Saccharomyces cerevisiae S288C: one gene and its partner. The protein of the gene in region 1 interacts with the protein of each later gene in a pairwise test. Each region holds a gene or a part of one and is shown on either strand. Other genes may lie near its edges.

Evidence for each region. Proteins that work in one complex are often made in the same cells at the same time.
Region 2: the proteins of GYL1 (region 1) and YNR065C interact in a protein complementation assay, tested with the Saccharomyces cerevisiae proteins (one large-scale study listed by BioGRID).

What each region holds. Positions count from the first base shown.
Region 1 is NC_001145.3:645,539-649,811, forward strand, and holds GYL1 (Gyl1p), read left to right. Parts: upstream 1-1,579; coding exon 1,580-3,742; downstream 3,743-4,273. Other genes in the region: SPG5 (Spg5p), read left to right, coding at 118-1,239. UniProt on the Saccharomyces cerevisiae protein: Probable GTPase-activating protein which stimulates the GTP hydrolysis rate by GYP5 of YPT1 and SEC4. Involved in ER to Golgi trafficking and polarized exocytosis.
Region 2 is NC_001146.8:749,847-755,495, reverse strand, and holds YNR065C (uncharacterized protein), read left to right. Parts: upstream 1-1,795; coding exon 1,796-5,146; downstream 5,147-5,649. Other genes in the region: YNR066C (uncharacterized protein), read left to right, coding at 461-1,771; YNR064C (epoxide hydrolase), read left to right, coding at 5,488-5,649.

The sequences.
Region 1 (4,273 bases):
GCACGGCTGAACTATATAAATATAAAGGACATGTGGAGAGAAGCTTCTCTTCCTTCACATTTCGCATTTCATGATCTAAAGTGGTTCTTTCACAATAGAAGAGCACCAACACGAAATATGGCTGTCGGTGGTAATAACTGGAGCATGTGGCTGCGAATGTCACGGGTCCACCTCAGGCAGATCACGAAGTCTCTGGACCGAACGCTGATCAGTTTGAGCCATGGGAATTTTTCCCACCAATATAATCGCAATATTTTTGTCACTTGGTGGAAGAGCCTATTTGAGGCTTCTACAGCTTTTAGGAGGGCAAGTGGTTTAACGGTATCTCCTCTCACGAGGAGAGGAATCGCAAGGTTTGACCATTTCAGACCTGTTCCCAATGTCAGTAAATTTGCTTCTTTTCCCAGAGTGCCCAAAGGAGCCCCAAGGGGCCTTTTTACCAACTGGAATATGACTACATCAAAGAGATTATTAGGGCAGAGAGCTTATTCGACTTCCAGTATCAAATTTACCCAAGAAGCCGTGAATAACATGACTATATCTTTGAGGTGTTTTTTCAACTCACTAGGCGGATTAAATCAGTGCTCCCACTCTAATTCCTGCAAAGCTTATCAGAATGCGTCTAATGTTACCTCTAAACAGGATCACGTCCAACCAGTTGCCCTTAAGAAGTTATCTCAAAAGGATATCAATTTCATTCGTAATTTAGAACTATTTAAGATAATGAAGACCCAGAATGAAGTCGTTGATGAAACAAGCGCATATTACATGGAAAAACCAGGTTCCTATATTGAATTTACCATTTCAGAATTTAACGTTAATGGGACATTCTCCGCACCTTTGTCATTTTTAGATCCTTCTTTGTTAGCGGATTTGGATGAAATGATTAGAAATTACAAATACGAATTAAAATCAATATACAGTAGTGTTGACATGATCTTGCAGAATTATGGATCATTGCCGATAACTTTTCATCGAAATAAGATTCGAATACATTTTCCAAACTCAACTGTGGTGGAAACAGAAAAACTAATTGCAGGTCTGAATATTGCTACGGGTGTTATTTACGCAGATACGTCTCCCGATATCAGTCTAGAAGGTACAAATTTGAATGCTCTGGTTAATGTTGACAATTCAGGAAGCGTATGGTCTTTTGTTAAGGAGCCCTCGTTTCCCTCTAGGAGCGCTTTTTCACCTATTTTATCAGATGCATCCTATGATACTTATGAATTGGTCTAGCAAAGACGTTGTTTCATCGCGCTATTACCAAGAAGGTTACTTTACTTGTTCTTGCACATGGACGCACGTTGTGTGTTCATATATATATATATATATATATATATATATTTGTGCTTGTTTTCATTGTCTCTATAGTTAATACATTCTATTTTTATCGTTATATTTGCATTCTCTTCGCATAAAAACTTCATGAAAATTCGGCAGAAAATAAGCCATATATGTACTTTATCCATAGGCAAAGAAAAGCACTTAACGAGAATATACAACAATTGCACTAGTACTGCATGTATATACTCTTATGATTATAGCGGCAAGAAAACAAATATAAACACACTAACAGATGAATTCGAATGAAGATATACATGAAGAACGCATTGAAGTTCCACGAACTCCCCATCAAACCCAGCCAGAGAAAGACTCTGATCGCATCGCTCTCAGGGATGAAATATCAGTACCAGAAGGCGATGAAAAAGCATATTCGGATGAGAAAGTAGAAATGGCAACCACAAATGCATCCAGTAACTTTGGCTCAAATGAAAGTGCAAAAGACGGCGAATCAATCGGCGCCTTTTCAAATCCCCATGAGGCTCTGATGCAGTCAAAATTGAGAGAAGAATCCCAGAGTAAAACCATACTACCATCCGATGACCTCAGCCAGCAATTAGAAACCGAAGAATCCAAAGTTGAAGAGGCTCTAAAAAGAATAACCTCACCCCCATTACCACCGAGGGCTGACTGCATAGAAGAATCTGCATCTGCTCTTAAATCCTCATTGCCTCCAGTGCTAGCAGGAAATAAAAATGATCAAGCCCCCCTTGACCGACCACAGTTACCTCCGAGGCAGGTAGTTAATGCGGAAACTCTTCATTTGAAGGCGCCCCATGGTAATGCGACTCCCTCCAAATCACCAACGAGTGCTGTAGGTAATTCTTCTTCATCGACCCCTCCAACCTTACCACCACGCCGTATAGAAGATCCTTTAGACTTGGCTGCTCAAAAACATTTCCTAGCGAGTACATTTAAGAGAAATATGCTCTTTTATAAAAGTGAAGATAACTCTATCAAATGTGATTTGGATAAAAATATACTAAATTTAAAAGAAGATTCAAAAAAAATTAACAACAATGAAATTCCTGAAGAGGTTAGTTCATTTTGGTTAAAGGTTATCGGCGACTATCAAAATATCTTAATAAACGATATCGAAACCTTACATTTCCAACTATCTCGAGGTATACCAGCCGCTTATCGATTGGTAGTCTGGCAGTTAGTAAGTTATGCAAAATCGAAATCCTTTGACCCTATATATGAAACGTATCTAACGGAAATGGCACCTTTTGACGTCCAGGAATTTGAAAATCAGCTAAAAATGATGGACGAAGTTCCCTCTGAATACGTAAAACGCATAAGTAATGTGTTAAAGGCTTATTTACTTTTTGACCCAGAGTGTGAGTTTTCTACCGACATTGCTTATATTATCAATATGATTCTTGACGTTTGCGAGGAGGAGGCAAATGCATTTGGTCTACTTGTACGCCTAATGAAAGTTTACGGTTTAAGACTCTTGTTCTTACCAAGTGCTTCTGAGATCGATATTCTTTGCTATAAATTTGATAGACTTGTAGAAGAATTTTATCCTGAAATTCACAACCACATGGTTGAAAAAGGCGTCCGTTCTTCCATGTTTTTGCCCGGTTTCTTCACGACACTGTTTCAAAAGAAACTTCCCACTGAAATTCAACCACGTATCGGTGATATGGTATTTTTAGAAGGTATTGACTCTATTATGAGAATTTTAGCCACACTTTTATCTAATTCCCGAGACCATCTGTTAAAAATGGGTTTTGATGATATGCTGGAGCTATTGAAATCAGGTCTGTTAGATGCTTATATTAAGCAGAATGATGGTACACGCGGTGACACTCTTCTCTCAAATGAATGTATGGATAAATTACTACAAGACTCTATGATGAAAGTAGCAATAACCCCAAAGACTATGAAGAAATATTCTTCTGAATATGAGGAAATTCACAGATTGGACAATGAAAAAGAAGTGCAATATAAGTCTATCACGGAAAAAAATTTACATTTACAAAAGCATGTTCGTAAATTAGAAAACGACTACACATCTTTAAATAGAGAGCATGTGACAATTGCGAACGAGTTAGTGAAAAATCGGCTTAATATCGAGTCTGTATTAAATGAAAATAATGGTTACAAACTTCAAATTTTAGATTTGAAGAAAAAGTTGGATTCAGAAAAAAAGAAGCAAGTTTTAGGTGTATATGTGCCCAATGATTTAAAGAAAGATTTGGAAGAGACAATGAAAAAGAATACCCAAGTAATGGACGAAAATTTGAAATTGCAGGATAGGATTTCAGAACTAGAAAGGCTTATTGAAGAAATAAAAACTGCAAACAAAAATGGTACGTTATTCGAATATTCTAATTCTAAAAATAATCCTTTGGGAGCCGGCTGGTCAGGATTTAAAAAGGTTTTTAAATAGTTAAACTGTGTATATCAGCTACTGCTCCCCTTGAATGATACATGACTAAATATAATGATAAATTTATTTCTTGATTTTTGATTATTTCATATTTTGTTGACATTTGAGAGCTTCAATTGTATAAAGTTGCAAGATAATATATGAGGTTAGGGAAGCCGGATAAAGAAAATAGAGTACTTTAAAACTGTTCATGGACTAAGAATTCAGTGACGATGAAGTAGTAAAGGAGAGTGTTTAGGATATAAATAAGACCGAGAAATTGTTAGTAAGCATTACTTCTAGCAGAAATAATGAACCACAATCGTGACAATATATACTCGAGTTAGCAGTTAACAGTAACCCTTTCCATACCATTCTAAACTTTGCAACAGTAAATATCTTGGCGTTTAACGTTTTATTTTATTCTACGTTTCTCAAATATCGGCTGTACTCATGTGGCACATCATGAAAAGAGCCTTCATATCAAGAATTCAAGAATTTTAATTACATCGTGACAACGGTTTCCTAAACTTTTAGTAAAAACAATTAAAT
Region 2 (5,649 bases), on another chromosome or scaffold:
AAGTTTTCACCATTTAAAATTTGTTTTGCAGAATACCATTCTAGACTATGATCCCTTAGAGATTCTCATTCTTTAAATATCAGCTTCAACAGCATATCTTTATAGTATTATCGTACTACTGGCGACATTAGCAAATCAAAGTATTTTTGCTCAGTTTCTAGTTTTATCTGTTTGATTCCCCATTAGATGGTAAACACGTTGTCTTGATGACTGAAAAGGAAGTGAACATGGTCAACTCAAAATAACCAGACTCAAAATAATTGCAATTACCTAGGCTAGATATTTTTAGAATATTATGAGAATATTTTTAGAATATTTGCAACCCAAAATATATTTAAATGCCGCCAATTTGCAACCAAAAGATTATCCGCTACCTTTTTTTTAGTCATTGAATCGTAGCATAAAGTTCCGAGCTTTGAAAAAAAGCTTTGAACTAAGAAAAGGTAAGAGATCCTCAATTATGATATTACTCCAAGTCATATGCACGATTTGGACATGTCTCTTTATTCCGTTACTCAATGCAGAGGAATTCGTCCCCAAAGTAACGGAGACTCTTTCAGAATATTCATTTAGTCTAGAGAGCTTTGACGATTCCAACAGTTTAATCAGATTAGATAATCAAGTCGTGTGGATAAGTTCCGATTCTGGAGAAAATTGGGAAGCGGTCAAAGAAATTGAAGGGCATATTCTCGAATTAATTGTTGATCCTTTGCATGGACAGGACAGGGCTTTTGTTTCGATACATTTATCACCCAAATTTTACGTCACCGATGATCGTGGAAAATCATGGAGGGCTCTGACTATACCCGTCTCTGAAAACTGTCGTTTGGGTACTTCTTGCTCTATAGCTACCCATCCGACAGATAAAAAGTACCTTATTGCAGATTGCCCTTGCTTTATAAACGACAATGGTTATATCCAAATACAAAATGAAACTTACTTTACCAACGATGGGGAATCCTTTTACAATATCGAACCTTCCTTGAAAAAGAAAGAAGATGACCATATAACAAGTTCAAGCTGCAACTTTGTCAAATCTAGCAAGGATTCTGATATTGAGGGTAACGACGCTTCGATACTATGTTTGTTCTCGAACCATGGTTACGATAGCGATCGTCACTTAAGTGCCGCATATACACAATTAGCCTTAAGTACTGATGGAGGTAAAACTTTCAAAAAATTTGATGAGTTTAATGATAAAATTATTTATCAATACAAGATATTAAAATCACATATAATCGTTTCGACACAAGATGATAGATACAATGAAATGTCACCCATGGACATCTGGATATCCAATGATGCGTCTACTTTTCAAAAGGCACGTCTACCTGCTCAAGTACGGCACGTCCATATGTATGGAATTTATGAAGATTCTATTGGAAGAATAATCATTCCTATATCTACGATATTCACAGATGAAAAAAACGACCAACCAGCTCCCTCAGAAATTTTAATATCAGATTCTCAAGGGTTGAAATTTTTACCTGTTGAATGGACAATAAATCCTCACTTTGGTTATATTGATATTGCTTCTCCTCATTTCTTAGAAGGAACAATAATTGGCTCGTTTCATCCTTCCTTTGACTACTCTCATAACAAAGGAAAATATAATAAAAAGATAGCCAGATATGAAACTAAAATATCTGTTGATAACGGCCTCACATGGTCAAATTTGAAAGTGGTTGACGAGGAAAATGCAGATTCATTCCCTTGTGATATCACTAGGCCTGAAAGATGTTCGCTCCAGAACCCTTTTTATAGTATCTAAATCTCAAATCCTACTGCCGGAATTATGTTAATGACAGGTTCCGTTGGCGACGGTAGTGAATTCGATTGGGAAGACCAAAAAACTTTCATCTCTAGAGATGGCGGTTTAACGTGGAGATTTGTTCATAATTCTTCTGGGTTATATGCTACTGGTGACCTGGGAAATATTATTGTGTATATCCCATATGATCCAGAGGAAGATGGCGATTTTCAATCTGAATTTTATTATTCTTTGGACCAAGGTAGAACATGGAATGAATATGAGCTGACCAATGCCATAAGTTCTGTCCATCCCTACAAATTGATAAATCCAACACCAGATGGATCTGGCTCAAAATTTATTTTTAAAGGAACGTTTGCCACTACCGATTCCGAAACCAACAGTATAACTTCTTTAAAAGGTGTCGAGTATATAATTGATTTTTCAGCAGCATTCGACTCTAGAACGTGTGAGGAGGAAGATTTTGAAGATTGGGATTTGGCGGATGGGAAATGTGTTAATGGCGCCAAATACAAGTATAGAAGGAGGAAACAAGACGCCCAGTGTTTGGTAAAAAAAGCATTCAAAGATTTGAGTTTAGATGAAACGCCTTGTAATAGTTGTGGTGAATCCGACTACGAATGTTCGTTTGAATTTGTTAGGGACGCAAACGGCCTGTGTATACCAGATTATAATCTGATTGCCTTTTCCAACATATGTGACAAATCGAAGGATAAATCTGTGTTAGTAGAGCCATTACAATTAATCAAAGGTGATGAATGTAAAACACCCATGAAAATTGAACCCGTTGATATTCCGTGTGACGAAATTCCAGAGGAGGGTTCGAGTGACAGGGAAATAGTGACCACTGAAAACAAATTTGACTTCGAAATTAAATTTTACCAATACTTCGATACAGTTGCCGACGAATCTTTGGTCATGCTGAATTCGATAGGAGACGCCTATATATCCCACGATGGTGGACAAACAATAAAAAGGTTTGACACTAACGGCGAAAAAATTGTTGAAGTTGTGTTTAACCCATATTTCAATTCTTCAGCATATTTGTTTGGCTCTAAAGGTAACATATTCTCAACACACGATAGAGGACACTCTTTTATGATAGCTAAATTACCTGAAGCCAGGCAATTAGGTATGCCACTAGATTTTAGTGCTAAAGCACAGGATACTTTTATTTACTATGGTGGCAAGAATTGTGAATCAATCTTAAGTCCAGAATGTCATGCAGTAGCATACCTCACCAAAGATGGAGGTGAAACTTTTACAGAAATGCTTGATAATGCAATTCATTGTGAGTTTGCAGGCACACTCTTTGAATATCCGTCAAATGAGGAGATGGTTATGTGCCAAGTAAAAAAGAAGTCTTCAGAAACAAGAAGCTTGGTTTCTTCGATAGATTTTTTCCAAGGTGATAATAAAATTATCTTTGAAAACATTATCGGCTACTTGTCCACTGGTGGCTATATTATTGTTGCCGTACCTCATGAAGACAATGAGTTGAGGGCATATGTAACTATTGATGGTACTGAGTTTGCCGAGGCAAAATTCCCGTATGGTCAAGATGTTAGTAAGCAAGAGGCATTCACTATTTTAGGATCTGAGAAAGGATCGATATTTTTACATTTAGCAACAAACTTAGAATCAGGACACGATTTTGGAAACCTTTTGAAATCCAACTCGAATGGTACTTCTTTTGTCACTTTAGAGCATGCCGTTAATAGAAACACATTCGGTTATGTCGACTTTGAAAAAGTTCAAGGTCTTGAAGGTATTATTATTACCAACATCGTTTCGAATAGGGAAAAGGTTGGAGAGAACAAGGAAGACGAACAATTGAAGACGAAAATCACCTTTAATGACGGTTCAGATTGGAACTTTTTGAAGCCTCCAAAGAAGGATTCGGAAGGGAAAAAGTTTCCCTGTGATTCTGTATCATTAGATAAATGTTCTCTACATTTGCATGGTTACACTGAACGTAAGGATATCAGGGATACATATTCCTCCGGTTCCGCGTTAGGAATGATGTTTGGTGTCGGAAATGTTGGCGATAAGCTTCTACCATATGAGGAGTGTTCCACTTTTTTAACCACTGATGGAGGAGAGACGTGGACTGAGGTTAAAAAAGGCCCCCATCAATGGGAGTACGGTGATCATGGTGGAGTCTTGGTTTTGGTCCCCGAAAACGCAGAAACTGATTCTATTTCTTACTCCACCGATTTTGGTAAAACATGGAAAGATTATAAATTCTGTGGCGACAAAGTCCTCGTAAAGGATATAATCACCGTTCCCAGAGATTCTGCTTTGAGGTTTTTGCTATTTGGAGAAGCAAAAAACATGGGTAGTGGTTCATTCAGAACGTATACAATTGATTTTAGAAACATCTTCGAGAGGCAATGTGAGTTTGATATTACGGGTAAAAAAAGGGCAGATTTTAAGTACTCTCCTCTGGGTTCCAGAACTGGTTGTCTATTTGGTCATCAAACCGAGTTTTTACGTAAAACCGATGAAAAATGTTTTATTGGGAATATTCCACTTTCTGAATTTTCGAGGAACGTCAAAAACTGTTCATGTACGAGGCAAGATTTCGAATGTGACTATAATTTTTATAAAGCCAGTGATGGTACTTGTAAATTAGTCAAAGGCTTAAGTTCGGCGAATGGTGCCGATATCTGCAAAAAGGAACCCGACTTAATTGAATACTATGATTCCTCTGGCTATCGAAAAATTCCCTTATCAACCTGTAAAGGTGGGCTGAAATTGGATGCACATTTAGCACCACATCCTTGTCCGGGAAAAGAAAAGGCATTCAGGGAAAAATATTCTATAAACACCGGCGCTTATGCGCTGGTTTTTGTTACAATTCTTCTCGTTATTTTCTTTGCCGCATGGTTTGTATACGATAGAGGTATCAGGAGAAATGGGGGATTTTCAAGATTTGAAGAAATAAGATTAGGAGACGATGGGCTGATAGAAAACAATAGGACCGATAGAGTTGTCAACATCATTGTAAGACTAGGATTATGCATTTCTTTAATTACCAAGTCTGCATTTCAACGCACGAAGGCAGGTGTAGCACGCTTTTCTTCAAAATTAAGGGCAAGGTTTGGCAACAGAAAAGGTCCTACTTACTCTTCGCTGCTTCAGGGTCAGTTTTCAGATGAATCAGATGGCTTGCATGAAGATGCTAACGATTTATCCAGTTTCACAAGTCAAGACAGTAATTTTGAAATTGAACAAGAAGATGCTTACAGACCCGAACAAGAGCACACGTCACAGATAGACCAGCCTGCCACTAGCAATATTCCAGACGCATTGCCAGCACGTAGTGCTATTCACAAGCCTGATTCAACTGCTGTGCGCAACGAGGACGAGTAAATAGATTTTTTTAATAGACTAAATAATCGTATGTTTGCTAACAAAAAGTACGCATATGCATTTTCTCAATATTGTGCATTTTCTAAATCTCCATTCACCTTTGTTATTAACATAGTCATTTAAAGGTATGATAATTCAGTATTCATCTTTTCCACAGACGGCGCTGCATGCCATTCGTCTGTAACTTGCCTAGGGACTGCGCCGCACATAATCGTGACAGAAATTTCAAAAGTGATAGGAGCCAAAAGTGATAGGAGCCAAAAAGAACATATATAAGCACGATCAAATTAACTGAACTTGACCACTTTTCTTTCACTGTCAGAATTGGACGAAGGACAAAAATGTCAAATATCATTGCAAGATTTCACAAGATTCAAGTTCAAGACGGTGTAAAGGTTTGGTACCGTGAGGCCGGTGCAGCAGGTAACCCCACAATTTTATTGCTACATGGGTTCCCTACATCTTCCAACATGTTCAGGAACCTCATTCCCTTACTAGCTGGA